Oryzias latipes: one gene and its partners. The protein of the gene in region 3 interacts with the protein of the main gene of each other region in a biochemical or structural test. Links are inferred from orthologs where the notes say so. Each region holds a gene or a part of one and is shown on either strand. Other genes may lie near its edges. The genes, in order: aplf, chfr and parp1.

Region 1 (10,255 bases), on a different chromosome or scaffold from region 3:
GACCGACAGAACCGTCTGCATGGCGGGTTCCTCAGAACCGTTCCTTAGAACCTCAGAATCGTCTGCATGGCGGGTTCCTCAGAACCGTTCCTTAGAACCTCAGAACCGTCTGCATGGAAGGTTCCTCAGAACCGTTCCTTAGACCGACAGAACCGTCTGCATGGAAGGTTCCTCAGAACCGTTCCTTAGAACCTCAGAACCGTCTGCATGGCGGGTTCCTCAGAACTGTTCCTTAGAACCTCAGAACCGTCTGCATGGCGGGTTCCTCAGAACCGTTCCTTAGAACCTCAGAATCGTCTGCATGGAGGGTTCCTCAGAACCGTTCCTTAGAACCTCAGAATCGTCTGCATGGAGGGTTCCTCAGAACCGTTCCTTAGACCGACAGAACCGTCTGCATGGAGGGTTCCTCAGAACCGTTCCTTAGAACCTCAGAACCGTCTGCATGGCGGGTTCCTCAGAACCGTTCCTTAGAACCTCAGAACCGTCTGCATGGCGGGTTCCTCAGAACCGTTCCTTAGAACCTCAGAATCGTCTGCATGGAGGGTTCCTCAGAACCGTTCCTTAGAACATCAGAACCGTCTGCATGGAAGGTTCCTCAGAACCGTTCCTTAGAACCTCAGAACTGTTTGCATGGCGGGTTCCTCAGAACCGTTCCTTAAAACCTCAGAACCGTTTGCATGGCGGGTTCCTCAGAACCGTTCCTTAGAACCTCAGAATCGTCTGCATGGCGGGTTCCTCAGAACCGTTCCTTAGAACCTCAGAACCGTCTGCATGGCGGGTTCCTCAGAACCGTTCCTTAGACCGACAGAACCGTCTGTATGGCGGGTTCCTCAGAACTGTTCCTTAGAACCTCAGAATCGTCTGCATGGCGGGTTCCTCAGAACCGTTCCTTAGAACCTCAGAACCGTCTGCATGGCGGGTTCCTCAGAACCGTTCCTTAGACCGACAGAACCGTCTGTATGGCGGGTTCCTTAGAACTGTTCCTTAGAACCTCAGAATCGTCTGCATGGCGGGTTCCTCAGAACCGTTCCTTAGAACCTCAGAATCGTCTGCATGGCGGGTTCCTCAGAACCGTTCCTTAGACCGACAGAACCGTCTGCATGGCGGGTTCCTCAGAACCGTTCCTTAGACCGACAGAACCGTCTGTATGGCGGGTTCCTCAGAACCGTTCCTTAGACCGACAGAACCGTCTGCATGGAAGGTTCCTCAGAACCGTTCCTTAGAACCTCAGAACCGTCTGCATGGCGGGTTCCTCAGAACTGTTCCTTAGAACCTCAGAACCGTCTGCATGGCGGGTTCCTCAGAACCGTTCCTTAGAACCTCAGAATCGTCTGCATGGAGGGTTCGTCAGAACCGTTCCTTAGAACCTCAGAACCGTCTGCATGGCGGGTTCCTCAGAACCGTTCCTTAGAACCTCAGAACCGTCTGCATGGCGGGTTCCTCAGAACCGTTCCTTAGACCGACAGAACCGTCTGTATGGCGGGTTCCTCAGAACTGTTCCTTAGAACCTCACAATCGTCTGTATGGCGGGTTCCTCCGACCTGTTCCTTAGAACCTCAGAACCGTCTGCATGGCGGGTTCCTCAGAACCGTTCCTTAGAACCTCAGAATCGTCTGCATGGAGGGTTCCTCAGAACCGTTCCTTAGAACCTCAGAACCGTCTGCATGGAAGGTTCCTCAGAACCGTTCCTTAGAACCTCAGAACCGTCTGCATGGCGGGTTCCTCAGAACCGTTCCTTAGAACCTCAGAACCGTCTGCATGGCGGGTTCCTCAGAACCGTTCCTTAGAACCTCAGAATCGTCTGCATGGCGGGTTCCTCAGAACCGTTCCTTAGAACCTCAGAATCGTCTGCATGGAGGGTTCCTCAGAACCGTTCCTTAGACCGACAGAACCGTCTGCATGGCGGGTTCCTCAGAACCGTTCCTTAGAACCTCAGAACCGTCTGCATGGCGGGTTCCTCAGAACCGTTCCTTAGAACCTCAGAACCGTCTGCATGGCGGGTTCCTCAGAACTGTTCCTTAGAACCTCAGAACCGTCTGCATGGCGGGTTCCTCAGAACCGTTCCTTAGAACCTCAGAATCGTCTGCATGGAGGGTTCCTCAGAACCGTTCCTTAGAACCTCAGAACCGTCTGCATGGAAGGTTCCTCAGAACCGTTCCTTAGAACCTCAGAACCGTTTGCATGGCGGGTTCCTCAGAACCGTTCCTTAGAACCTCAGAACCGTTTGCATGGCGGGTTCCTCAGAACCGTTCCTTAGAACCTCAGAACCGTTTGCATGGCGGGTTCCTCAGAACCGTTCCTTAGAACCTCAGAACCGTCTGCATGGCGGGTTCCTCAGAACCGTTCCTTAGAACCTCAGAACCGTCTGTATGGCGGGTTCCTCAGAACTGTTCCTTAGAACCTCAGAATCGTCTGCATGGCGGGTTCCTCAGAACCGTTCCTTAGAACCTCAGAACCGTCTGCATGGCGGGTTCCTCAGAACCGTTCCTTAGACCGACAGAACCGTCTGTATGGCGGGTTCCTCAGAACTGTTCCTTAGAACCTCAGAATCGTCTGCATGGCGGGTTCCTCAGAACCGTTCCTTAGAACCTCAGAATCGTCTGCATGGCGGGTTCCTCAGAACCGTTCCTTAGACCGACAGAACCGTCTGCATGGCGGGTTCCTCAGAACCGTTCCTTAGACCGACAGAACCGTCTGTATGGCGGGTTCCTCAGAACCGTTCCTTAGAACCTCAGAACCGTCTGCATGGCGGGTTCCTCAGAACCGTTCCTTAGAACCTCAGAACCGTCTGCATGGAGGGTTCCTCAGAACCGTTCCTTAGAACCTCACAATCGTCTGCATGGCGGGTTCCTCAGAACCGTTCCTTAGAACCTCAGAATCGTCTGCATGGAGGGTTCCTCAGAACCGTTCCTTAGAACCTCAGAACCGTCTGCATGGAAGGTTACTCAGAACCGTTCCTTAGAACCTCAGAACCGTCTGCATGGCGGGTTCCTCAGAACCGTTCCTTAGAACCTCAGAACCGTCTGCATGGCGGGTTCCTCAGAACCGTTCCTTAGAACCTCAGAATCGTCTGCATGGCGGGTTCCTCAGAACCGTTCCTTAGAACCTCAGAATCGTCTGCATGGAGGGTTCCTCAGAACCGTTCCTTAGACCGACAGAACCGTCTGCATGGAAGGTTCCTCAGAACCGTTCCTTAGAACCTCAGAACCGTCTGCATGGCGGGTTCCTCAGAACTGTTCCTTAGAACCTCAGAACCGTCTGCATGGCGGGTTCCTCAGAACCGTTCCTTAGAACCTCAGAATCGTCTGCATGGAGGGTTCCGCAGAACCGTTCCTTAGAACCTCAGAACCGTCTGCATGGAAGGTTCCTCAGAACCGTTCCTTAGAACCTCAGAACCGTCTGCATGGCGGGTTCCTCAGAACCGTTCCTTAGAACCTCAGAACCGTCTGTATGGCGGGTTCCTCAGAACCGTTCCTTAGACCGACAGAACCGTCTGTATGGCGGGTTCCTCAGAACTGTTCCTTAGAACCTCAGAATCGTCTGCATGGCGGGTTCCTCAGAACCGTTCCTTAGAACCTCAGAACCGTCTGCATGGCGGGTTCCTCAGAACCGTTCTTTAGACCGACAGAACCGTCTGTATGGCGGGTTCCTCAGAACTGTTCCTTAGAACCTCAGAATCGTCTGCATGGCGGGTTCCTCAGAACCGTTCCTTAGAACCGTCTGCATGGCGGGTTCCTCAGAACCGTTCCTTAGAACCTCAGAATCGTCTGCATGGCGGGTTCCTCAGAACCGTTCCTTAGAACCTCAGAACCGTCTGCATGGCGGGTTCCTCAGAACCGTTCCTTAGACCGACAGAACCGTCTGTATGGCGGGTTCCTCAGAACTGTTCCTTAGAACCTCAGAATCGTCTGCATGGCGGGTTCCTCAGAACCGTTCCTTAGAACCTCAGAACCGTCTGCATGGAGGGTTCCTCAGAACCGTTCCTTAGACCGACAGAACCGTCTGTATGGCGGGTTCCTCAGAACTGTTCCTTAGAACCTCAGAATCGTCTGCATGGCGGGTTCCTCAGAACCGTTCCTTAGAACCGTCTGCATGGCGGGTTCCTCAGAACCGTCCAGGAGGAACCTCCAGACAGAGAAGCTCAGCAGGTTTTAGCTTCAGCATCTTCATCACCGCTTTACTCAACCGTTTCAGGTGCCTTCTCCTCCTCAGCATTCATCTTCCTCTTTCTCTGCTCCTCTTCCTCTTTCGATGTGGGCGTGGCCTGAACACCGCCAGCAGGTCGTTTCCTCCTCTGAAGAGTTGACTGAACTAAACACACACAAAACCCCATCAGACCAACAACATGCTTCTACAGAGCAGAACCACAACCAGACAGAACCGGTCAGTCAGATCAGAACTGGATCCGGCTCTTTCTAAGCGATCAGAGCAATTTCTGAGGAAGAGCCAAAGATGGTCTCTGCAGGACGTTGCTGTTCCGCTCAGGTGAGTCCAGGTGTTCTCTCGTGTTCTGAGCGTTCCCCTGGCATACAGAGATTCCTTCGGGTTCTCTGGTTGAATTTGGCTTTTTTACCCATGAATCTTTGCACCGTTTGCCACAGTTACCTTTGAGCATGAGGGCTGGGGTCTGCACGGCGGCCGCCATCATCCAGGCAGGAAGGGTTCGAACCCTGACCTCAGACAGAGCGGCGTGCCTCTGATCCTCCATGTTGGTCTGTGAAGATCAAAGGCCGGACTTCAAAGGACAACGAGGGTTCGAGGACCGTTTCCTTCCTGATGCTTCAGCGCAGGGCCTGACATAACGGTGTGGGCGGGGCACCCACCTGTCGGGATCTCCCGTCTGACTCCGCCCCCTCCTCTCCTGCTGGACCCTCCTGACCTTCTCCTGAGGCGGGAAGCTGCTCCTCCTCCTCAGCGCTCCGGATGCTCCTGCAGGACACAGAGACGTGAGGCAGCTCCTGCAGGAGCAGCTCTTCATCAGCTGGAGGGTCTTCCTCCGTCTGTTTGATCCCAGCTTCAAACAAAAGCGGCGCCGCCCACACCCTCCTGGAATACCTGGAGCCCACGGCCTCCACCCTGAAGACCAGCCGCCCCGGCAGCAGAGAGAGCAGCTCGCCATCGCGCAGCGTGTACCAGGATCCTTGGGGCAGGGGGCGGGGCTCCGAGGACAGGGAGGCCTGGATGAAGCACGGGTTGGCGTGGGTCTGGGGAGGGACATGAGCGCATCAGTTTGGGATCTGGGGAGGCCCGAAGACACCAGGAGGACCATCTGCAGACGGCACGGCTCCTCCTCTGAGGAGGTGCAGAGACAGAACAGAGAAGGTCAGAGGTCATCCTGGATGGATCCACATGGTTCTGATTGCCTGAAGTTCCACCTGGATCTTCTTCAGAACCGTTTCAGTAAAGCTGAACCGGACTCAAACAGATCCGGTTCTGTTTTGGTCAAACCGTGTGACGGGTTGCGTTGTTCATGTAACGTCAGTGGTTTCCTCCATCTTGGCCGGATGTGACATCATCAAACCCTGAACTGAAAGACCCGATCGGGTCGCTGTGGAACCAGAACCGTCTGGATTTTCTACATGCAAACTCTAGCAGAACCGAAAACGTGACGGCGGCGTCCTCCTGAACCTCGCCGTGTTCAGAACTCTAGGAGAGTGTGTGTCTGGGGGGGGTCGGTACCGGTTTGAGGCGCAGCTCTCCGTCCAGGTTCTGCAGCAGCCCGTGGCGTCTCGACACCCTCTTGTCGCTGATCTGGGGTGGAGACAGAAACACTCAGTCACTTGTGAGGCGATGGAGCTGAGGATCAGCGTCCCTCACACCACGTCCCCTCAGGAACTTGTCCTGAGGGGGGTACCAGCTCCAGTTCTGCGTCAGAGGTCAGGTGATCACCTGCCAGCTGTGGCAGCGGAGTCACGTGACCGTGCCCCGCCTCTGTCTGACCCGACACTCTGCGGGACTCACTGTGAGCAGGGGACCCCGGCCCAGCAGCGTCTCCCCTGGCGGAACGGGGACCGGATTCCCGCCATCCACCGGGACCAGGAGGAAGCCGGACATGAGCTCCGGAGGCGGGGGGGTCCGGCTGGCGGGAAGAGTTTATCAACACACGCGGTTCGGAAAATGCGTTGGGTCCAATTGACCCGGGTCTCTGCGGATCTGGACTATGAAATCCGGGTCTGAGAGCCGCAGGTGAATTCGGGAACAACTTCCGCTACTTTTGAATCCAGACTTCCGGTTTCCAGTGGAGCATGCGCAGTGGTGTCTTTAAGGTGTCAGCAAAAAAGTTAAAATTTCCATCGATTTTTACGAAAGATCCAATTTGAGTAATTAAAAATTGAAATAAACAAAAACTTAACATGTTCATGTCAGCCTGAAGTTAAAGTGTTGATCAGTAAACTGACCTGCGCAGAAAAAAACGTTCAAAAAAAGATAAATTGTTTGGATTTTAAGTAAGAATATTTTCTCTTTAAATTTCACATTAGATTACAAAAGTTTAAAAACAACGGAGTTTGGTTTTTTGACAGTGAGGCCTTTCTACGCATGCGCGTGGTTTAAATTCACGATGACGTCACGTCTGTGTACAAACAACCGTTGGGACATTTAAACAGTCAGCTGTCGGGATCAAACCCCGTGTCCTGTCCGCGCTTGATTACTGCGTCCCTGTGGTTCAGCGTCTCGGGAAAGAACCCGATTCCGTTTCTGCTCGGAGTTCAGACCGGAACCGGCGGCGTTTGTCTGCTAGCTGCTCTCCCCCAAAACACTCGTTTAGACGGAGGTGGGGGTGGGGTCCCGGTGGGGGGTCCCGCTTGAGCCCTGATCCGGTTCTGAGGCTTCGGTCACGTGCGCCTCCCGCCCCCACGTCCGAGGCTCAGGTGCCAAACAGAGAGCAGGTAGGACTTCTGTCTTCAGCACCTGTGACGTTTTTGAAACGTGACCGGAAGTGAGGCCACATGAAAAGGTTCTGAAGGCCGATCCGGATCCCGGACTGCTGTGGACCCCTGAGGAGCAGACCAGGTGGGTCTGAGACTACACGATCCACGTGCTAAAATCTGATTGACACCCCCATAAATGTCTTTCATCTTTCAGTCGCCCCCTCCCCCTCCCCCCTTATGATGCAGGATGAACCTGCAGAGACTCCGCCCCCACACCCGATGGAAGGAAGCCCCACCCTGATGGCAGCCCCCCCCGAACGCCCCCCTCTGAACTTTGTGGAGGCGCTTCCTCTGGAGATGAGCGTGCGGATCTTCAGCCAGCTGGACGCTGACAGCCTGTGCCGCGCCTCGCAGACCTGCCGGCTGTGGCACGCCGTCATCCAGCAGAGCGAGCAGCTGTGGAGGGGGCAGGGCCTGGTGGTGCGCGCCGTCTGCCAGAGGGAGGTGGACCGCGACAGGAGCCACGGCCATTCCTGGAAGGTGAGCCTGGTCTCCCCCCTCCCCCAATATGGCCAGGTTATAGGGGGGGCGGGGGAGTTCTGATGCCTCCCTCTGAGGCCCCTCCCTCATCACATGACCCTCATGTAAGTGAAGGTCCCTGACCTCCTTGATGATGAAGGTCATTGACCTCCTCCTCATCGCACCTCCTCATGCCATTGAGCTGTCCGTCTCCCTCTTTGCTTCTGGATAAGGGTGGAGGGTGGCACGGTGGTGTAGTGGTCAGTGCGTTCTCCCGGTTCACGTGTGGCTCCGCCCCCCTGCAGGTCACCGTGGTCAGGAACTACGCCCGCAGCCGCCTGAAGGCCGACTGGCTGACGGGGCGCTACAGTCACGTGCGCTCTGTGGCGGAGCTGCGTGGCAGGAGGATGACGCCGCTGGACGCAGAGACGTGGGGGGAGATCCTTCAGGCTGAGCTGGACAGATGACCCCCCCACCCCAACCCCAACCCTCCACCCCCACAAGAACTTGGAATGAGACTGTAAATGATCCAGACCTGAGTATGACAGAAAACACCAATTTTATTACAAAATAAAAGTTTTCTCTGGAACAGTTGTGTAGGTGTAGGCCCTGTGGGGGTGGGGGTGGGGGGGTCGAACCGGACTGAAGGTTTAGTTCGGGTCAGAACGGATGAAGGCTCGTTTTCAGCAAGTTATTAGTTATTACAAAAACCGGCTTTTATTGTGAAGGCGTCGAGCGGAAGCGCGCTGACGCCGTCTGCAACCCCCACCCCCCACCCCCACCCCCCCTCAGCATCCGCGCATCTCCAGCTCGTGCGTCCGGCAGAGCAGCATCCCGGGACGATGGACGACGTGCCCCCCCTCATCTGCATCTCCGTGGCGCTGCGGATCCAGCCCAACGAGGGTCCGGTCTTCTTCAAGGTGGACGGAACCCGGTTCGGCCAGACCCGAACCATCAAGCTGCTGACGGGCTCCAAGTACAAGATTGAGGTGGTGCTGAAGCCCGGGACCGTGGAGGCCACGTAAGGGCGCGAACCCGGGCGCGTGCCTGTGTAACACGGGAGATGGGCGCGCGTGGGGGACACCGGACAAAGACTGCGGCGTCGGCGCACGCGGCGGCCTCCTCGTGCAGGCCGCAGCATCCGACACCCGCCGAATGAATAAATGATGCGGGATCGGATGGAAGCACGCGCGCGCGCGGGGTGGGGGTTATAAACGACGGAAAAAACATTCAGGATAAAAAATATTTTTATTGAAATATTCGTTTAGCTTCATTTGGATGCTGTCAGGTGGATGTTCAGCTTCATGGTCGAGTTTTAGTGGAAGAACCCAGAAGATCTACTCCACATAGATCTACTCCACATAGATCTACTCCACACAGATCTACTCCACACAGATCTTCACATAGATCTACTCCACATAGATCTACTCCACATAGATCTACTCCACACAGATCTACTCCACATAGATCTACTCCACACAGATCTACTCCACACAGATCTACTCCACACAGATCTTCACATAGATCTACTCCACATAGATCTACTCCACATAGATCTACTCCACACAGATCTACTCCACATAGATCTACTCCACATAGATCTACTCCACACAGATCTACTCCACACAGATCTACTCCACACAGATCTTCACATAGATCTACTCCACATAGATCTACTCCACACAGATCTACTCCACACAGATCTTCACATAGATCTACTCCACATAGATCTACTCCACATAGATCTACTCCACACAGATCTACTCCACATAGATCTACTCCACACAGATCTACTCCACACAGATCTACTCCACATAGATCTACTCCTCAAAGATCTACCCCACATAGATCTACTCCACATAGATCTACTCCACACAGATCTACTCCACACAGATCTTCTTCACATAGATCTACTCCACATAGATATACTCCACACAGATCCTCTCCACACAGATCTTCTCCACATAGATCTTCTCCACGTAGATCTTCTCCACATACACTCAAAAAAAGGAAATTACCAGCCAATTAAGTTAACGAAAAAGTAACTTGTCATTTCAACCAGAAAATTATATGTTTGTAAATCTTTCGTGAATGAATCATGTCGATTTTACATAAAAATAATCCATTTAAAAGTTAATAATTTCAATCATGTTGATCCAACATGATTCCATTAAATTGGATCCATTAGTAATCGCAAGGAATTGTGGGATACCATTTTCTTTGTCTATCTGGGCAGATTGGGGTCTAAGTGTGAGTTTTTCTCCATGGGTTTTATTGTCTAGCTGTTTTACTCTGTTTTAACTAGTGATTTAAACTGATATGTGTTTATTTCGTTTGCACCATGAGTTAAAGTTTGGTATAGGATGAAGACCAAACCCCTTGTGTGGCAAACTGTTAATGTTCCAATACTTAACACAGAGTTCGCGGTAATTGAACTCCTGTCTTGTGATGGACTTTGCTGGGTAAATCATGTCTTTGATGTGAAAATTAAAAGACCCATTGGTTGTAACTTTGGAACAACATATCAATTACAGATGAATAAATAAAATTATAGAAATAAATAGAAATTCAAGTTAAATAAACTTAATTTACTTAGGTGTGACCAATTGAAGTGATTCAATTAAATTGGATCAACTATTTTCTTTTTAGAGTGAGTAACAATATTAATTTGAAGTTGGGTGCAACTGCTCTATTTAAATTGAATCAACTTAAATTTATTAATTTGAACCTAAATACATTAAATAGGACCAACATGATTCATTTTTGTTCAAGTAACGCAATCTAATCACCACGTAGATATACTCCACATAGATCTTCTCCACATAGATTTACTCCACACAGATCTGCTCCACATAGATCTTCTCCAC
Region 2 (10,155 bases), on a different chromosome or scaffold from region 3:
TCCACATGCCTGTCAGAGAAAAGCTTCCCTCCTGCAAGCCTTCCAAAGACTCCTGAAGCAGATCTTTCCACGTCTTCCCCTTGGATGACAGGTGGTTCTGCAGAAACAAGTATATTTTCTAAACATTCAAAAAGCATTCATTACATTTTCATTTTCATTACATATTAGTTAGATGTATAAGTTATATCTGGCCCTTGTCCAGGCCCTGGACAGTCATTATGCTGATGTGGCCCTCAGTGAAAATGAGTTTGACACCCCTACTTTAAGGGAAAACCAAAAGGAAAAGAAAATGTATTGTTCCAAGGAACTCCCTACACCTTTTGTTTTTGTTTCAACTTTTTTTACAAAGATGAGTCATTTAATTAATGTTGAATTTTTTCCTCTATCTACTATTAAATCTTTTAGGGAGGTCTTCTTTGAACTTAAAGAAAAAATAACTAAAAGATGCTGCTGAGCTTGTTAGTCTCTCCCCTTCTGGGAACTATTTATTTGCTTTTTTTATGTACTTATTTAATCTATAAGAAAAAAAACAAAGTTAATTGTTGGAGTTTGTAAAATTCTGAATTTTGATGCAAATATTTTCACTGTTCCCATAAATGAATATTGGCTCAGCTTTCTTGACTATAATCCAACAAACGAAAAACCTATTAGTCTCAAGTCTCTACAGGGAAAACCCCTTAAAGACCCAGTCCAATGAAATGTTTTTGGTGTTTTTAACATCTTCTTGAAGCATTTTCTAAAGATGGAGGACATCTGAAGAAAGTTAAGTTTAAAATAGCATTTCTGAGTATTTCCTTTTCTTTATCATTGAGAATCAGAAGCAGGGGAATAAATGCAGCAGGAAAAGAATTGTATTTGTGATGTAAAAAAAAATAGGCAGGGCAAGCCACAAGCTCCCTGCTCCAAGTTCTGCATGGGAGAGGGGAAGGGGGGCGGGGTTTCTCCATCCCAACAGTTGAAATAGATCTAAAGATGATCAGAGTGGGTCTTTAACAACTAAAAAAAGACGTTTTAAAAGTCCCATGAGCCTTTGCAGTTTTTGAGTTCACTGTAAACATTTCTGAACAATTGCAGAATAAGTATTCTGGCTAGCAGCTAGCACAAACAGAAAAAAATCTGTGTATTTAGTGAGGAAAAAGATAATTGTTTTTAAAAAGCAAAGTAAAATAATTAGTCAATCACTGATGATTCAAAAAAGATAAGAAAGACAAAAGCGCGTCTTACCTTGAGAACCTCTGACTCATAGGTGTTGTTGTTCAGCACGCTGTCCAGACATTTGTCATTGAGATTGAGCTCTAACAAAAACATTATCCCAAAAAAATGTCAAAGATTTAGACAGAAACTCTTTCAGACCTTTAAACTTCAAAATAATCTTTACAAAAATGTTGCTAAGCTGCTTTTTTTAAAGCAAAACGACAATATGTTTATGTGGTCTTTTATTATCAGTACAAAAAAGAAATCTGTCTTTGCTAACATGATTATTAGCATAATGGTGTGCTTATAATATTGTTATATTAGAAAAATTATTAGAGCTGGGTTGATAAAATCGATTTATCTATCTGAATCAATCAAAGTTTAATAAATCAATAATCGATCATTGAGGTAGAGATTGATCTTTCCTTTTCTGGTGACCTAACGCATAACAGTCAAAAAGTCAAAGTCTGCTAGCTTGATGCTAACATGGAAAGGAATTTTCCATAGGACTGCTAATGCTAACGCTCGTTGAATATAAACATGCATTGTTGACTAAATGAATAACTTCATATACTTACAGACACGAATTTTCCAAACTCTATTTTTTAAAGTAAGCATTTGTGATTTAAAGCACAGTTTTTTTCTCAAATAATGGAATAAAAGTGTAATGCTTTTAGCGCAAGTGGCTAAACTGAAACGGCCTCCTGGAGAGGCAGAACATGATCTGCACAATTCTGTTGGAGCTTCTCCTTTAGAGAAATCATGTAACACTGGATGGTCTTAATAGTCTCACTGGGAATTATTTCACTCATAAATTTTACAGTATGTGAACGGTATCTGATTAATATACATTTCTTCAAAACATATAAATTCAAAATTGAATCGAATCAAATTCAATTGAGTGGATCGAAAGAGAATGTTTGAATTCATCCAGGGTCTGGTGAACCTAATCAATTCAGGAAATTTTTGGCGATACCCAGCCCTAGTAATCATCTTAAGATATGTAGAAAATGTTTATACCTTCTGCCCAAGTTATTTTTTGGGTCATTCTATTGGTGTTTTTGCAGAAACTGGTGCATACCACTGAATCGAGACAGACAGCCTTGACATCCAATCCTCTGGCAACCCCAGTACATGTGACAGAAAGGCTGCTGGCACAGCATACCTGCACAAACATCCTAACCTTAGGGTGTATGATGGAAAAACCTGGCAGGCTTTATTGATAATGCTGATGATTAACACGAGAGCATTCAAATATCCGTACACAGATTCAGTTGTCCGTGTCTAGTTACATTCAAGTTTGTGTGAATATTTGCATACACACATTTTATGGACACAGATGTTAAATTTGTGCAAAAGAGCTTCCAGTTAATCAGCCCACTCACACTGTTGAGCAAAGCCCGGCAGACTGCTGAGCTCTGCCCGTCTGTCCGGCATCGGCTGGAGGCAGCAGGTGCAGAGGACATGGCGACCCTGAGGGGGGCAGCAGTACACCTGGGAAGCTGTTTGGAGGAGGAAAGCAAAAGAGCAAAATGAATCAAATCCAGTTTGATAAAAAAAAATTAAAAAGCACCAATTTACAACCAATTCAAAGCATGTCAGAAAATCCGGCTTATAAAACAAAATCACTACATTTTCAGTGAGTTTGAATCAATGGTGGTGTTTTAAATTTCACATTTGTCAGTTCATAAGTGATGGGGAGCTAAAAGTTTGTTTTGTCAGTTTCACTAATCAAAACTACCGACATCCAATTTACTAGAGGGACATCTGTACATTCATACAATCTGCATCCATATCTGGAAAAGATCAAATTTGAAAACTGTACTTGAAGACAGAATTAATCCTTTAACGCTGGACATGTTACCAGCGAAACCTAAATAACACACGCTCTTTAATATACTGTAACTTTTTGAGCGTTTCTGAGATCAGCATGAATCAGCTGATTCTGACCAGGAGAAAAGTGGCTTTTCTCTTTGGCTTGCATGAAGGTGGAAAGCCGCTTTTCTCCCCTTCGGAATCCACTGACGTTTAGTTAGTTGCATAAACGGTTGAAGAGTTACGGTAATTAAAACAAAAACAAAAAAGTCAAGTTTTGCCCTTTTATTTTCTTAACAAAAGGCCAAATGAAAAGCATCTGTTGGCACAGATTTACACAACTTGTACAAATGTTGAAAGCTGTAAAAATAACAGCAACTATAAAAAGTTGCATGTACACAGTTACTTTTTTTCCCCCATTAATTTTCTATCAGCTATCACTAGACTAAATTCCAGCCTTCTGAAAAGCACAACTGTATATTGAAACTTTGAAATTCTATAAAATAAGTGATGGTCGTTGTTCTTCTTGAACTTTAGACGTTTTTTATTTTGCTCATTTATTGAAACACAATAAGATGAGTGAAGCATTAATGGGCAAACACCTGATGTGGCTTCAGAGGATGTTGAGGGCTGTTCTCCTGTCAGCTTTGCTGCTTCCTCTTCACCTGCTGGCTTGGCTGATGAGAGTACAGCTGGTAGTGATGGCAGACCAGCAAACCAGCAGTTTGAACTTGTGGTGAGCAGCACTTGGCTCATGTAGCTCCTGTAGCCGGGACACTGTCTGCACATCACTAAAGGCTGACTGGGGACAGAGATCCACATTAGGTCACATTTTGTTTTATTTTCAAAAACATGGACCATAAACCTTAAAAGGGAAAAAAAAGCTAAATTTTGGTGATTTAGAACAGAAAATACATTTTTGTATAAATTATTGACAAACAACAGCTGCATTCGTCTTAGTCATGAGTTACAAATGTCATCTTTTACTACTTCAAATAGTTAGGTTACTTATAATATTGTTAAAAAGAATAACCACCATTATTATGATATTAACAGTTCTTCTACCAGTTTTATTAAAAAAGAAAGATTAATATTTCACACATTGTAGGTGAAACAGAAAATGAAAGCAGCTCAAAACCTGTTAAATCTCTGTCTAGACGTTTGTAAAGGAAGCAGCTCTACATTATGCAACAATTCAGCCTTTCCTAAATCCTACTCAAATCAGTGAGCAGCATTTAATGTAATCCAGCTCTTGCTTTTCTTTTTCTGCAAAGCTGAAAACTAATAAACTACAGTGGGGCAAAAAAGTATTTAGTCAGCCACCAACTGTGTGGGTTCTCCTATACTTAAAAAGACGAGAGAAGCCTGTCATTTTCATCATGGGTATACCTCAACAATGGGACCCAAAATGAGAAAAGAAAATTTTGGGGAAAAACAAAAATCACATAGTCGCATTTTTGAAAGAATTTATTCGTAAATTATGGTGGAAAATAAGTTTTTGGTCAATAACAAAAGTTGAAAGGTTTTTATAAACTGTTGCTGGTATTTTGGCCCATTCCTCCATGCAGATCTCCTCTAGAGCAGTCATGATTTGGGGCTGTCGCTAAGCAACACAGATGTGTGTTTTCATGATGTTTTTTGGATGTAACTCAGCTTTCTATCTCCTTCAAACACAACGAGAAAACTTCCTACAAAACAGTTGTATTTTGGTTAAATCTGACCATAGGACATTTTCCCAATCCTCTTCTGGATCTTCCAAATGCTCTCTAGTAAACTTTAGTCGGGCCTTCACATGTACTGGTTTTAGCAGGGGGACACGTCTAGCACTCCAGGATTTGAGTCCCTGGTGGCATAGTGTGTTACTGATGGTAGCCCTTGTTACTTTGGTCCCGGCTCTCTGCAGGTTATTCATTAGGCCCCTTCGTGTGGTTCTGGCATTTTTGCTCACCGTTCTTGTGATCATTTTGACCCCACGGGGTGAGATCTTGCGGAAAGCCCCAGATAGAGGGAGATTATCAATGGTCTTGCATGTCCTCCATTTCCTAATAATCGCTTCCACAGTTGATTTCGTCACACCAATCGGTTTATCTATTGCAGATTCAGTCTTCCCCAACCTGGTGCAGGTCAACAATGTTGCTTCTGGTGTCCTTACACAGGTCTTTAGTTTTGGCCATTGTGGAGTTTGGACAGTTTGAAGTTGGGGACAGGTGTCTTTTCTATAGATAACCAGTTCATACAGGTGCCATTAATGCAGGTAACAAGTGGAGAGCATAGGATCCTCTTACAGAAGAAGTTAAATGTCTGTGAGAGCCAAAAATCTTGCTTTTTTCTTATTTTGTCAATCATAGTTGAGGTATACCTGTGATGAAAATTGCACGCCTTTCCCATCTTTCTAAATGAGAGAATTTGCAAAAATGGTGGCTGACTAAATACTTTTTTGCCCCAGAATCTTTTCATCTGTTTCTGATAGACAACAATTTAAATACAATTTTGAACCTAATTTTCTTCATACATGTCCCTCCATCATTAGAAAAATGGCACAAGAATATGTTAAGAACACAATTTCCATCGGAGTGGGTCTTTTAAAATCACATGGTTTTTAGAACCCATAGAAAAACATTCAAATTCGAGTTTTCCTATAGGGATTCATAAACTGTGTCTGGTCTCTGATCATCTTAAAATGCTTGAGAAAGATAGAGAAGGGCAAATAAGGTTAGCTGAGATGCAAGCACAGGCAGTTCTCTTACCTAGTGTCTGAGGAGTCGCTGTCATTATCAGATGATTCAAAGAGGTAGTCGGAGCTGCCCTCTTCATCAGAAAACAGACGCTCCACTTTTGGCTGCAACATGTCTTGAGTTATCTTGTTTCTGCTGTCCATGCTCTTCAGGTCCTCCTCACTGCGACACTTTTCTGCCAAAAAAGGAAAAGCCACACTTTTCATCTGAAATAAATGAACAAAAATGTAATAAAATGCAACTAGGCTGGTCTTTAAATGTGCAAACCTGGATGCTGTGTGAGGTATGCCTCCACCAGGTTATTGAGGAAGTGGTTTTTACAAATCCTCTCTACAGGACAGCGGCACGTCGGGCAGAGAGATGAGCGCTCCATCCAGCCTGAGTAACAGGCGGCGCAAAAGACGTGCATGCAAGGCTGCAAGCTGAAGCAGACAGACTATTGAAACACACATGCAGCACTGAGGTGGGCCTGCAGACAAAAAGATCGGTTCCCTCGCAGATCCATGCTTGAACCACAGGTACCTCAGATCTTACCTGATACAGTCATGCAGCAGGTCCTGGCATATAACACAAGTCAAGGATTCTTCCATCTTATCCGTCTTGGTTTCTTTAACTGCTGATTTTGATGAGTCTTTGTCAGCTGATCCAGCCACTTCAGGACAGGCAGTGAATGGCAAATCTGATGCACACTCTTTATCTAAAACTTAAAAAACAGCAGCCACATATAACAATAGATTTGGGCAGATACCAAACTACGCATAGAAAATAATGGTTTTAATGACATTAAAATAAGGCAAAACCATAATCAGGTAGTTAAAAGACTAAAGACTAACCATCAGACATTTTCCTCCTCTTAAGTTTAGGTTCCAGATGGTCTGTATCATGTTTTTGTGCAGGAGCTGCATGTTTAGGTGGGCCTAGTAGGATTGAAAAAACCAACAAAGACAGATCAAAAATGTGATAATCCTAATAAGATAGAAACATTTGTAGCAAATATACAGATTTGAACTTCCACACAGACTATTTATTCACTTAAGACAAAACCATGCTTTATTAGGTTTGGGAAGAAAAAATGGGGTCGGATTGAACAGCCAAAAAAAGATTCAAAACAGAAAAAAAAAACTCCCTCGCGCCGCAAAAACTGAATCTCAAGAAAATAAAAAGACAATTGTTTTAACAAGAATTGTCTTTTTTTGTCATGCACGAACAATAATCTTGTCACAGAAGTGTTTCAATGGCAAAATAATCTTAGTTTAAGAAAACATTTTGTAAATGACTAGAGTTTTATTTTAAAAAAAAGGAATTCTCTGTAAGACCATTTTTACCCCATTGGCAGAGTTATTTTAATATTTTTTTTTAGAAAAGGTTTCAAATGTTAAGCATTGTTGACACATTTCTAGCGGGCCTGTTTTTGCAGTGCAGAAGTAAGTGGTGGCCAAAATAAACACTACAAGTTGTTTCTGAACACAAACCTAACCCTTTAAGCAGATTCTTATCAAGACTTGTGTGTGCTAATTTTGCTAAACAAAACCAAACAAAAAGTTACCCTGCACTAAACTAATCTAATATAATGCCTTTAGACATTTACATATTTAATGCAATCATAAAAATGTACTTTTGTAAAGTTTACATATAGTTCTTTACACTAAAAACATTGCACAGTTCTTAAAGTGAACAGGAAGCGTAACATGATGGGACGAAGTTGATCGCTTCTGTTAGTTAGCCCAAACTAAACCTGACATTTGAGAGAATTTCTCTGCCTTTTGTGGTCTGCTGCTTGACCTACAGAAACCAACATAGGAAACCAAAAAACTGAATCCATAGCAGGTCATTTTACACATTAGATGGCAGGATGCTTCCACATGCGCTCGTCTGTCAGTCCCTCAAGTGGATTGTTTTAACAAAGATACAGTCAAAGCACTCCAGCATTTTCATTACCTACATATGAGCATTGGGCCATTAGAGGCTGCAAATCCCTCTGTGCTGACCTAAATTTAATGATTTAAGAAAATATGATTGTTTTGTTTATTTTAAATATGCAGTTAACATGACTTTATACATACAGTAGTCTTCATAGTCCTTATATGATGACCACTTGGTTTTTGCTGACATAGCTGTACATTTTCTTAATCCACTCAGATTCCAGCTAGCTTGTGTTGTTCTATGAAACCTTCAGAGTTGACGGTGTGCTGCAAGCAGCAGAGACAGAAAACTGCAAAGGCCAATCAGATGAAGTCTGACACCAAGGCCAGCTGGAAGGCCTAACGCTCATGACTCAGCTAACTCAATGGGAGGCAGTTTAGGAGTTTACTTTTGAAATTAAAGTAAAGTCTATGGTCACATAAGCAAAACTTGTTACAGCCATAACATGTTGATGTGATTAAAAAATATCTTTTGTGTTATGGAAAGAGAGTTTTTTTTCCTGCCTGGTGGAACATCAGTCTTAAAAAGCGCATTGGTTACCAGAGGATGAAGACGTTGTGATCACTGTGGTGCCAGAAGAAGAGGGATTCTCAATGCAGAAATGGGAAGCAGAAGTTGAAGGCTTTGGCTCATCTTGGGCCAAGTCTCTGGGAGTCTTTGTGAGGATGAGTGGCTCCACAGAGAGAATCATCTCCGACTCTGGAACAGCTGAGTAACTCTGGGCTGAACTCTCCATGCCTGAAGTTTGAAAACAGTATGGAGTGTAAATAAAAATGTTGGAAAACCTTTTTGTGAAGAGTCAGTGAGATCTTACCATAGCTGTGTAGTGACTCGCCCTGCTCCATCTTGATAGTGTGGTAAACATAAGCAATATCTATATTTAAAATAAAATAAAAGAGTTTTTGTACAACTTTTCACACATTCATATACCATGTCATAGTTTTTTGCCTTTCTTCATCATAAAATGTAATTAGATTATTATCTAGGACAAGTCATAAGAATATATGAACATTTTGTGCAAAACCATAGAAAATAAGAAACTTAATCTTAATTGAGAACCACCATTAAAATAATAAATCTATTGGAAGGACGAGGTGAACCCCAAAGTTAATGACCTCAAAGAAGAAAACTGGTGTCAGATCTGAACATATCTGGAATGTAGTTGGGAGAACAAAATGTGAAGTGATGGTGAGGTCAACTTTTAACTGATGGAACACTAAAACTCAAAAGTAACACACTAAGATAAAACTGTGAACTTTGGTTTACCACGGAGAAAATCCAGATCATCCACAGTTCCAAAATATGAATTCCCAATGAGCTGGAGAAAGTTAAAAAGTTACTTCAAACATGTTGGAAAAGGAAATGCATTGTGACTGTGGCTAAGAAACCAAGCAGCAGGTACCCAGTACAACTGCTCATAAAAGGACAATAAAGACTCATGGATAAACAGCAACCCCAGAACTGGCGAGCATCTGTGTTCTAGAGTCTACAGGACGTAAAAAACTAAGAAGTCAGAGTGTGGTTGGACAGACCACATGAAACAAACCACTAACAACTAAAAAGCTTTGAGAACTTTTTGGTGGACTTAAAAAAAAAACAAAAAAACTGCACATTATTACATGTGTCGTAAAGTATGGCGAAGGAAGCATCCTGATATAGTTGTTCTTTGCTGCATCAGGGCCTGGTCGGCTTTCATTCATTCATAGAGAGGAGGATGCTGTTAAAGGACCTAAACACAAGCAGAAGCTGCAGTGGGCCCAGACACACATGACTCATTTTCAAACAGTCCTGTTCCCCGTTGAGTGCCTTTCAACCCTGGATGGTCCAGATGGAATGAGTACTGACTGGTTGGTGGATGGCCACCATGTCACAACAACGCTGCGACGTCCGCAAGGAGTTGGCGGAGTCAGGTTTTGGCCTGCATCAAAGGGGCCGACCATGAGAGAGCTGGTCGGCCCTTAAACAAACCTTAGGAGGTTTGTTTAATAACAATTATTATATACTCTAATGGGGCCTGTTGCACAAAAGTAGAATTAAGACATCCGGGATAAATGACTGAGCTGAGCTCAATGAATCCAAAACATGTCCGTCCAGGCTTAATCGGTTGCACAAAGACCAAGCCAGGATGAGCAGACACGGATTCATCAAGCCAGGTGTAACCAATCCTGGATAGGTGCGCGCTCACGGCTCACTCAAACAGACCCCTCCACAGATCACAGATAAACTGATTCACCATGGCAACTAAAGCCGCGTACCTTTCCCCGTCGGAAGCACAAATCCTCATGGAGGCATACGAGGAGGTAAAAGATATAATTAAGAAGAAAGGCAACACCACCACAGTGATAAAGCACACTCAATAATTTTTTAAATTAAATTACCAGCCAATTAATTTTATGAAAATGTAACTTGTCATTTCAACCAGAAAATGTTATGTTTGTAAATCTTACGTGAATGAATCATGTCGATCGTACATAAAAATAATCCATTT
Region 3 (10,255 bases):
CGCATCCCCTTTAAACACCAGTTGACCTTGGCACTCGTTACAGGCCTCCAGAGCCCCGAAGGCCATACCGTCAGCCACTCTGTCGACCACCTGAGTTCAAAACCGGCAGTGAGTCACCAGAGACTTTGGCTTAAGCAGCATAGGATTCTTCATTTGTGACTTTTTCTTACGTTGGACTCCCCAGAAGGAACTTCCTGACCGTTTGCAATCAGCAGCTCCTTCATGTCGTTGGTTGAACAGTATTTCCTGAGTTTGTCCTTAATCCCCCAAATTAGCTGACTTTGATTCTGCAACCACAACAACACAATCAATCTATTAACAAGAAAACAAACAAAATTAATCTTGAACATAAAAAAAGCACCTTTAAATTCTCCACCAACTGTTTATTCTCTTCCTCCTCTTCTTGCTTCAGCTTCTTTGAAACTCCGTCCAACTCGTCGCCTGGACGTTTTCTGCAAATGTAATTATTATCATAGTTACAGAACAAAAAATACTAAGAAAAAAGAAATAGAAAGCATAAAGAGTGAGGCATTTCTCCCCTGCAGGTGAAACTATTTTGTAGTCTGACAGTGTCCTGGACCTCCATTTACAGAACGGTGGAAAACTGTTCTGGGTTCTGGCTCCCAGTTTGGAGCCAGAACCCAACTTCATCCTGTTTTTTTTTTTGGCTTTCCACTTCTTCAGGGGGTTGAATCATTGAGTGGAATCTTTAAACTCCTGAAGTAATAGAACCAAGGTTGATAAGAAGAGAAGATCCAGTTTTTCTGTTGCAGAATCATTTTTGACGAAAAAAGGGTACCAGCTGGGGTCTGGTAGAACCTGACCAGTAGATTCTGTGGGACGTGAACCTACTTCAGCTTCATCAGGAAGTTAAGAGTCTCGTCTGTGTGAATGAGTCAGGTGTTTTGCCTAAATAAGAAGTTACCTCCCAGGTTGCTGCCCTAAACCAGTCCATTCGTTTTTCGACCAAGCCAAACAAGATGATGAGAAAACATCCCATTAGGAACCCAAATAAGGCGCACAGGGATGAAGGTGACGGCCATGATGAGGAACAAACAAGCCTGCGTGTGACACCTTTCTTCATGGAGTAGACTCGTGAGGGTCTCTGCAGCAAACGGACACAAACAAGCAAGCTGGTACACGTCTGAACGCTCCCAGGGGCCGGGGGCCAGAGCAGCTCCTGTGACACCTCCATACCATAAATGACCATCTGGAGGACAAAGCATCAAGACAACGGCTGACATGAAGTAAAGGACAGAGGGGTGTCTGGTTTTCTGGGTGGGGGGGGTTGATGATGAATCCTTGATAGGTCTGTGGAGCAGATTGGTGAGACGTTTGGATGTTAACATGAATTTTACATCTGAAATTTGCTCTTTTGCAGGAGAGCTATGGAGAATGAAACTGTGCCACTTATTGTTTTCCAACAAACCAGCAACTCCTGGCTTCAGTTCTTTTTTCAGTATCCCCGCAACTTCACCAACCGGCTCTCCGCCACCACCTCCTCCCCTTCTGCGCCACCAGCTGACCCGGTGATGCACCCAAATGTGCCATACATGGTGGCCGAGCTCGTGATCGCCTTGTGCTCCACCTTGGGGAACCTCCTGGTCTGTGCTGCTGTGGGTCTCAACCGTAAGCTTCGCACCGTCACCAACTACTTCTTGGTCTCGCTGGCGGTAGCAGACATCTGTGTGGGAACCATTGCCATTCCCTGTGCCATCCTGACCGACGTCGGTCTACCGCGCTACAACTTCTACCTGTGTCTGCTAATGCTCAGCGTGCTGATAATGTTCACCCAGAGCTCCATCTTCAGCCTGCTGGCAGTGGCTGTGGAGCGTTATGTCGCCATCTTCATGCCGCTGCGTTACGGCGTCCTGATGACGCCTCGGAACGCCCTGATGGTGATCCTCGGCACGTGGCTGCTGGCCTCCCTCATCGGCTTGGTCCCCCTGATGGGCTGGCACAAGAGACCGCCAGATTCCAGCTACTGCTTCTTCGTCCTGGTGGTGGACATGACCTACATGGTCTACTTCAACTTCTTCGCTTGCGTGCTCGCACCTCTGCTCATCATGTTCCTCATCTACGCCCAGATCTTCCTCACGGTGAAGCAGCAGATGAGGCGCATCGCGACTGAGAAAGGTGAAGGATGGGAGCGACAGGGCAGGACGGCAGCCACCATGCGCAAGGAGATGAAGATGGCCACGTCGCTCTTCCTCGTTCTTTTTCTCTTCACAATCTGCTGGATTCCGCTCCATGTGATCAACTGCTTCCTCCTGCTTTGCCCAAAGTGCCCCGTTCCGCTGGAGCTGCTGCTCACCACCATCATCCTGTCCCACGCCAACTCTGCTGTGAACCCCTTCCTGTATGCATACACCATGACGGCTTTCAGGGACGCCTTTAAGGCCATTTTTCTGTGCTGCAGGTCGATGGGAGAGGCAGAGATTTTAAGTGGAAACAACAGAGGAGATGAGAGAACTTCTAGACCAAACCAAGTCTGTGAGAGCTGAGTCAAAGCTCTTAGTCAAACTTTTATATATATATATATATATATATATATATATATATATATATATATATATATATATATATATATATATATATATATATATATATATATAGTTTTTGTTACTCCTCACCCCTCAGTTTTTACAGCAGGAAGCCTCTTCTTCAGCTCCTCCTTGTCTTCTGCCCGCAGCACATTGAATCCCTTCAGCTGAGCAGCGCTGTAATCAGGTTTGAAAGCCAGCTCCTCTCTGCGGCTCACAAAACATGCAGTGTGGTACCAGCGGTCGATCAGGCCCAGCTGAGGCTTCTCTGCATCCACCACTTTCTTAGACACACGAATCTGATCCTGGAGGAGAGGTCAGAGGTCACAGGCGTGCTTTCCGTTAATGAACTGTTTAAACGAAGCTGCAGCAAACCTTTTCTATTTTCTGCTGACATCCTTTGCACGTGCTGCGGTTTGATTTGGCGTACTCCACCGCAAAGTCGTTCAGCGTCTTTTCTCCTTTAGCCGCACCACCAGAGTTTCCCTTTCCTGCAAGATGGAGACCTCAATTTACCCCGCTGTGCTTTAAGTCAGAATTTTCAACAACCTACAAAAAGTAAACAAAAGCGACTTTCCGATGACTAACATTCACCACGCTGATAAACGTCAATTCATTTCCCGTGTGCACAAACAGCTCAGACAAGCACAGACCTGTTCCGGCCACTCCACCACTTTCTATGGCTTTTTTGACAGCTTCCTGGTCCGCCCAGCGGAGATCCGAAAACCCGCCGACATCGGCCGTGGACTGCACCGAGGCTCGCTGCCAGAAGCAGGAGAAGTGATGCCAGTGAGGGACCTTCCCGTCGAACATGGGGGACTGCGGGACACAGAGTAAACATAGGCGTGAACACATTCAGCTGCAGAGTTATAGTTTTCAGTCTGTCTGTATCTGCCGGGTTTGGATGATTCTGGAAAAAAATGATGGGTTTGCTGCTCATATCAGATCATCTGAAAGCTCCAGTGTAGTTTGGTGGTGAATTGAACAAGATAGTTGAAAAGTTGAACAAAGAACAGACAAAAAACATTTTTATGAGACGAGTAAAGGATGTAAAATAATTTAGCAATACCGTAATATTTTTTGAAGGTGAAATGGGAGGAAAAAACTAACCCTTTGAAAAAAATAATTGTACTATTGTCGCCATGTCCTGCTCCTTTTAAAAATGACTTTTCTCAATTTTTCTGTACAGTTTAAGAAAAATAAGAGGCTTTTCAAATTATCTTTAACATTTTAGCTGTAGTGACTCGCCAAAACAAAAGCGCAATTTTGTTTTTATTTAAATCATAAAAAATACCTTCAAATAAAAACTTGAACATCTTTCTAATTCCACAAACAAATACAAACTGTAATAAAAGTTTTGTTTATATATGTGTTTAATTATTATTTTTACATTTTATTCCTTACGTTTAGATTTAAATTGCTCGCCTTAAATTAAACATTTTAACTGTTTATTTAATAATATCAATAACCATCAATTGATCAGTCTGAAGGATGGGAAATTTACAAATATAAATCTGAATACAAATGATTTAAATATATATATATATATATATATATATATATATTTTTTTTTTTTTAAAGTTTAGTTGGTGCCAATTTTTACTCTGTGCTTTTGATATAAAATTTTTGACAATAAAAGCAATCAGTCTAGATATGATCTATTTTTTTTTTATAAATACCTGTGATTGATATTTACATTTTTCATCCTAATTTTTAAATTTGCATTAGAAATTAGTTTTATACAATTTACTGGATTATAGATAATAATTTTTTTACCTGCATATTAATTTACTTGAATGTCAACGTATTTTTCCAAAAATATAAATTCTACTTGCATTAATTGCTTGTAGAATAATAATTAATTATGCAAAGTTTAGTATTTCAAATCCATCTGCTGAAACGGAAGCCTGTGGTAGACAAAATACTAAATGAATAAATAAAAGGAAAAAGCGAATGAAGTAAAGAAAGTAGTGAGCGGTACACGTTCCCCCGAAAGACAAGCGATAGAATCACCAAGACTGAGTCAGACTGAGAGGCAGCAGTGATTTTTCCTCACATTTCTGCTTGAATGCCGGAAAGTGCATTTATTTGGAGCATCTCTGCGGCTCTTTGTGCGGAAGATTTAGCAGCCATAAATGCTAACGAGGGCCCAAACCAGTCCAGACGAAACCGGAACTACTCAGGCCTATATATCACATTTTCAAAAACACACTTTTATTTTTTTTTTACATCTGCTGAAGCTGCTTGGTAAACAAGTGAGTCTGTAGGAATAATTCCGCTCCCGGGTGTTTCCTTGGACCGCCGCTGCTTACCTGCACCACGATGGCCATCCTCAGCGAGTCCTTCGCGATTTTCTCCTTGCATTTCTTGCACGAAGCCTGGCCGCTTTTGGCGTACTCTGCTCGGAACAGCTTGTCATTCTGGGAGTCGGCCATAGCTTCCCTTTATCCTTAAAAAGCTGAACCGAAGACGACAAAGTTTCTCCACCAGAGCACGAGGAGCAACAACAGGGACAACGCGAAGAGCAGCGAGCAAGATCCAGTAAAGAGGGCTTACTCTGACTCTTTTTTGTCAAACCTCCGATACAAGCGTTAGTTGCCAATGGACGCTGAACCTGGGCGCATGTCCACAAATATCTGATAGATGCGGGCATATTTATCCAGATAGCTACAGAAATCACAGCTAACCGAACCTAAGAAACGGGGTTACATACTTCCATTCCTTCAGCATATCTTTCAAAACATCTTTGCATGCAGAGCCTGTAGAATGGAAGTTTATGTTTTTTGTTGTTGTTATGAAAATCATATTTATTGTTTAAGTTATCCATACTCACAAGCTCTTATTTAGAAATTTAGAAAACAGCCGGCTTCTGATATTCCTTGGACATCATTAAAAGAAAATGACAATTGGCTTTTCTGCAGGAAGCTTCTTTTCTTTCTGCTTTCATTTACTTACTACCATTCTACCTTTTCTTTCGTTTTCTTTTATCTATCTACCTATCTATCTACCTATCTATCTATCTATCTATCTATCTATCTATCTATCTATCTATCTATCTATCTATCTATCTATCTATCTATCTATCTATCTATCTATCTATCTATCTATCTATCTATCTATCTATCTATCTATCTATCTATCTATCTATCTATCTATCTATCTATCTATCTATCTATCTATCTATCTATCTATCTATCTATCTATCTATCTATCTATCTATCTATCTATCCATCCATCCATCCATCCATCCATCCATCCATCCATCCATATCTATATATCTAATTTTCAGAAAGTAAATAGTTTAAAGTAAATTAGACAAAAAAGTAAGACGTACAAGAAGAAATATGATTTTGTGAAGATCTCTTGGTATGTAAATCACTTTTTTCATTGAAAAAAATCAGATGGACAACATAATTATTATCCTATAACTGTTGGAATAAACTGTCAATCGTGGAAATAAATCAAATATTACATTTTTTGTGTGCATGTATACTTCTACTTTTTGTTACAAGTTTTTCTTCATAATGCAACTTCTTCTGTATGTTTATGTTTTTAAGTCTGACCTTAATAAGAAGAGCTAGGCTATTGTTTTCGTATTATTATCCTTAGATGTTTTTTAGAACAATGGTAATTTTTTTGTTCAGTTTTGTCGATTGGAAGAATTAAAGAAAGAACTTAAGATTTGATCAACTGAAATATATTTATTTATAAATTTATTTAAAAAAACAAAAACGAAATATTATTATTTATGTATATTTATTTGTCCTCTTGGTCATTCCTCAGGAGCCACTCAACCGCATAAACAACACTCCTCTAAAATATGTTCAACAAAAAGTATTCAAACTTGAAATGTTTCATAAAAAAATGTCAAGCGATCCATTTTTCACAATAGACGATATTTGGATACCTCACAGAGTACCCGCGCTCGCTTCAGTCTAAAACAATCGAATGAAGAGAAGTCGATCCTTGCAGTCTGAAAAGAAAGTAAATCCTTCACTTTCAAAATTATAGGTTTCCATTCCATGTAATGGGTACGTTTAACCAATAAAACTTAAATTGTATGACTAGTGTGATAAAAGTAGAATGCAATAAGTATTAAATCGTTTTTTAAATTATTTTAAGTATCAAAAACAGACAGAAAATGTGTTTATTTGATGGACGGCAATCATACAATTAAACATTTCTGTAAAAAATGTATAAAAGCATGGTATACATGTAAAATGAACAGCACATGATGTCTAAAACACCAACACGGTTGCATTTATAGAGTTCGTATGGAAGATACAGACAAAAACCAACTCATGTGTGATGAAATAGAACAGGGGTCTGCAACCTGTGGCTCCAGAGCCACATGCTGCTCTTTTATCCCTTCATTGTGGTTCTTTTGCTTTGAAGAAAAATGCTAACATTTTGAAGAAATAATAGGGTTGTTGGTCATTTATTTTTAGATTTTTAAACTGAGGTGAACTTAGATGAGAAAAATGTACGTTTTAACCACTACGTTATACTAAATCAAGAGCCCTTGACACGTTCACTCCATAATGCAAACATGTCAAATACAAGCAATTAAATAGTAAAAGATCTGATTTATGTCAGAGTGGTTTCTTTTTAGAATAAGTTCAAACTCACATTCTTTTCTTAAGCCTAGTTGTCTTTCAGAGACAAATGTATTAAAGTATAATCGCTGCAGCAGGGTCTTATTTGACACAGGATACATTTTATTTTGAAAGGAACTTGTCTGTGCAATGGTAATATAACACTGTTATAATTCAATAATTGTAAATGTTTCAAAGCTACATTTTATGAATAAATAAACAAATGACTTAATGACCGCAAAAATATAAATTTAGAACATTTTTCTAAACAGTAGAGTGTGACTTTGCAGCTCTTGCTGGGTTTATGGCTGTTAGAAACTGTAACAAATGGCTCTTTGAGCGCTAAAGGTTGCAGAACCCTGAACTATAGAGTGTGATTTAGCTGTTTTTTAGAGGTATTCTAGTTTTTGGCTCAAATGTTTGATATACCTTGCAATACAAGATATGAAAAAAGACATGTTGGCTTTTGTTTTACTGTAAAAATGGCAACAAGAAAGCTAGAAAAAGCAGAGATCCCCCTAATATTTGCTGTACTTCACAAGAAGTCAGTGGAAGAGAAAGGCCCATTCTAGGAAACGTTCCATTTCCAATCTCCTCTTGGTAAGTTTAGAAATAGACTTTTCCAACATGTTCTTCTCCTAACTCGTTGGGTTGATGGACAAAACCTGGAATAAACTCTGCAAGATCCTTGGAGGATTTGATCCACCCTGTAAACATGCAGGAACAGCCCTGCCTGGATGAGTCCTCTCCTCTGCGTGCCTCTCAACACTTCAGTTTGCAGGAAATCAGACCAAAGTTACTGTTGGTTTCTCTTATTTTCTCCTTTTGTCGGGCTTGGACCAGCCCAAATACGACCTCGGCTAGTGTCAGGCGTCCTGATGGGCGCCCCCCAAGCCTGCTGTACTTCCCAGCATTGCCCTGCTTACTGCGCGTGGTGCTGATGAAGTATGTACGCACTTTTCCCTGGCACTCACTTACCTGCATTAAACAAAAAATCTTTTTAGGTTACTCCTTCAATTTAAAATGAATAAAAATTAAACATTTTCCTTTTAATAAAGCTTTCCTTACGTTATCTGCAAAGTTACCACAGACTATATGGACTAGGCTCAGCCCCCACTCACCCCCTTGATAAATATTTCTCCTCGTAGCTCCAGGGCAAAGCCCCACTCTGACAGGACTTTTCGGGTGGCTTCAGGCACCTGGATTCGTCCACTCACTCCTGTGGTGTCCATACGACTCGCCAGGTTCACTGTCATCCCCCAGATGTCATACTGCGGTTTGGTGGCTCCGATCACCCCCGCAACTACTGGCCCATGAGCAATTCCTTAAAAGAGTCCATCATGAAATCTTGGTCACTGGTCTCAGATTCTCCTCACTGTTTACTACAATAATGAAATCGACTCACCGACACGCAGCTTAAAACTCTGAGCAGAGAGCCGGTTGGTCTCCTTCAAGGTCTCCTGCATCGCCAACGCAAACAAAACCAGCTCGCTCAGGTGATTCCACTTATCCATGGATGCCTGGAAAACATAAATCCAGACGAGTGAGTTTCCCTAAAGAAATTCAACTGAAATGACTCTGAAACTGACCTCCCACCTGTTTATTTGGAGCTAAACCAGAGGCTGCCATATAGCAACTTCCAATGGTTTTGATCTTCTCTACGCAGTGGAAATACGACTCCTCCAACAACTAGAAAAGATTCAATTTCAGACAGCTGCTTCTAATATAACTGGGCAAACTACTTCTGTTGGTAGAAAAGGATGAACTTTTCACTTTAGTAGCGTTCAAACTCAGAACCAGCTGGTATTTTTCTCTGATGAACTACTAACGGTTGTTAGAACAATTGAAGTTTGCTCACCTCATCAAAGCCAGCAATGATCTCATTGAGCAGTCGCAGGCAGTCCACTCCTTCATGTTTAATCTCTTTCTGCTCAAAGTACTCATTGAAGCCGGCGACCGAGGCAAACATGACACCCACTTCATCATAAGACTGGGAGTAAAGCTCCTGAAATGACCATTGTTACACGCAGTTTCACCTGCTCATATGAGATAACACAGACCTGAGGAAAATCAAACATTTCTGCGCAATAACCCGGTTCATGTGGATGTTCTCTGTGTCTAAGACCATAAAGACCCACTCTAAATAAAGATTGTGTTTTTAACATGTTCTTGTGGCATTTTTCTGATGATTGAGAGCTAAAATAAAAAAAATTAACCTTAAAATAGCATTTCTGAGAATTCTTTATTCAAATTGTTGTGAATAAGGAGCAGATGAAAAAAAAATGCCATTTGAAAAAAAGATTGTAGTGTCGACGAATAGACGTCTTTGTTTTTCTTGTCTGAGCTGACTTTTGGCTCAGAACTGTACCGTTGGATAGCTCCAATGTTGCTCTCTTTTTTTTGCATCTCTAATGTTAGGTTGGGGGTGTGAGGGTCTGTAAGCAAGTGGGAGACTGTGTAAACAGAGAGCTCTCAGCAATGGGGAAGGGAAGAATGGGCGGTGTTGCCCACCCAAAACTTAGAGGCAAATTTCTAATGAACTACTGCCACACTGCAGAAACTATGTCCTAAAAAACAGTTTTTTTTTGGGAGGGGGGGGGGGGCTAAAAACGACATAATCATAATTTTACAACACATCGAAAGATAATTGGTAACAGAATGTGCTTCTTGTTATGAAAAAAAGTTTACTATGTGGGAATAAATTACATTAAATTAAAATAAGACTTTTTTTTCTTGGTCTGTTTGACAAAATAAAACAGCATGTTAACAATTAATATGTCTGTAAATCACATGATATTACATTTCCTGTAATAGGTCAGGGTTTGTTTTTGGTACCTGGTCGTTTCTGTTCCGCTCCAGAAAATGCTGCGCCACGTGCACAGGTAGGATGTTGTGTAACAAACTCTCGTTGTGCTCCCTCAGCGCCCTCATGTCCTCCACCTCCTGCTGGGCCTGCAGACGCCACAGGAAGTCCAGCCTGGCGGTGGCCTCCCACTGGAGAGAGCAGAAGAAACAGCAACGTGATGGAAGATCACCCAGCATCACCTTGGTTTTATTGTACCTGGTCATTCAGATTGAAAAAACAAAAAAAAGATTGGAAAATCAGTGCTGGGAAAT

The links.
Region 1: the proteins of parp1 (region 3) and aplf form a complex in vitro, tested with the Homo sapiens proteins (3 studies listed by BioGRID and IntAct, with this or other methods). The link is inferred for Oryzias latipes from reciprocal best matches to the Homo sapiens genes PARP1 and APLF.
Region 2: of the proteins of parp1 (region 3) and chfr, one has a biochemical effect on the other in vitro, tested with the Homo sapiens proteins (2 studies listed by BioGRID). The link is inferred for Oryzias latipes from reciprocal best matches to the Homo sapiens genes PARP1 and CHFR.

What each region holds. Positions count from the first base shown.
Region 1 is NC_019859.2:722,748-733,002, forward strand, and holds the start of aplf (aprataxin and PNK-like factor), read right to left. Parts: upstream 6,081-10,255; 5' UTR 6,055-6,080; coding exon 5,962-6,054; intron 5,752-5,961; coding exon 5,680-5,751; intron 5,205-5,679; coding exon 5,056-5,204; intron 4,930-5,055; coding exon 4,824-4,929; intron 4,715-4,823; coding exon 4,606-4,714; intron 4,312-4,605; coding exon 4,187-4,311; intron 1-4,186. Other genes in the region: fbxo48 (F-box only protein 48), read left to right, coding at 7,107-7,409, 7,694-7,855; CB1 cannabinoid receptor-interacting protein 1, read left to right, coding at 8,231-8,409. UniProt on the Homo sapiens protein: Histone chaperone involved in single-strand and double-strand DNA break repair.
Region 2 is NC_019867.2:23,126,544-23,136,698, reverse strand, and holds part of chfr (E3 ubiquitin-protein ligase CHFR), read right to left. Parts: intron 8,542-10,155; coding exon 8,482-8,541; intron 8,406-8,481; coding exon 8,208-8,405; intron 6,662-8,207; coding exon 6,578-6,661; intron 6,448-6,577; coding exon 6,279-6,447; intron 6,167-6,278; coding exon 6,012-6,166; intron 5,920-6,011; coding exon 5,757-5,919; intron 3,812-5,756; coding exon 3,612-3,811; intron 2,697-3,611; coding exon 2,580-2,696; intron 2,360-2,579; coding exon 2,276-2,359; intron 1,296-2,275; coding exon 1,225-1,295; intron 98-1,224; coding exon 10-97; intron 1-9. UniProt on the Homo sapiens protein: E3 ubiquitin-protein ligase that functions in the antephase checkpoint by actively delaying passage into mitosis in response to microtubule poisons.
Region 3 is NC_019882.2:7,700,437-7,710,691, reverse strand, and holds the start of parp1 (poly [ADP-ribose] polymerase 1), read right to left. Parts: upstream 5,089-10,255; 5' UTR 4,979-5,088; coding exon 4,856-4,978; intron 3,363-4,855; coding exon 3,197-3,362; intron 3,035-3,196; coding exon 2,919-3,034; intron 2,849-2,918; coding exon 2,634-2,848; intron 453-2,633; coding exon 362-452; intron 288-361; coding exon 171-287; intron 91-170; coding exon 1-90. Other genes in the region: adenylate cyclase type 8-like, read right to left, coding at 7,901-8,116, 8,260-8,462, 8,544-8,658, 8,735-8,827, 8,997-9,143, 9,974-10,132. UniProt on the Homo sapiens protein: Poly-ADP-ribosyltransferase that mediates poly-ADP-ribosylation of proteins and plays a key role in DNA repair.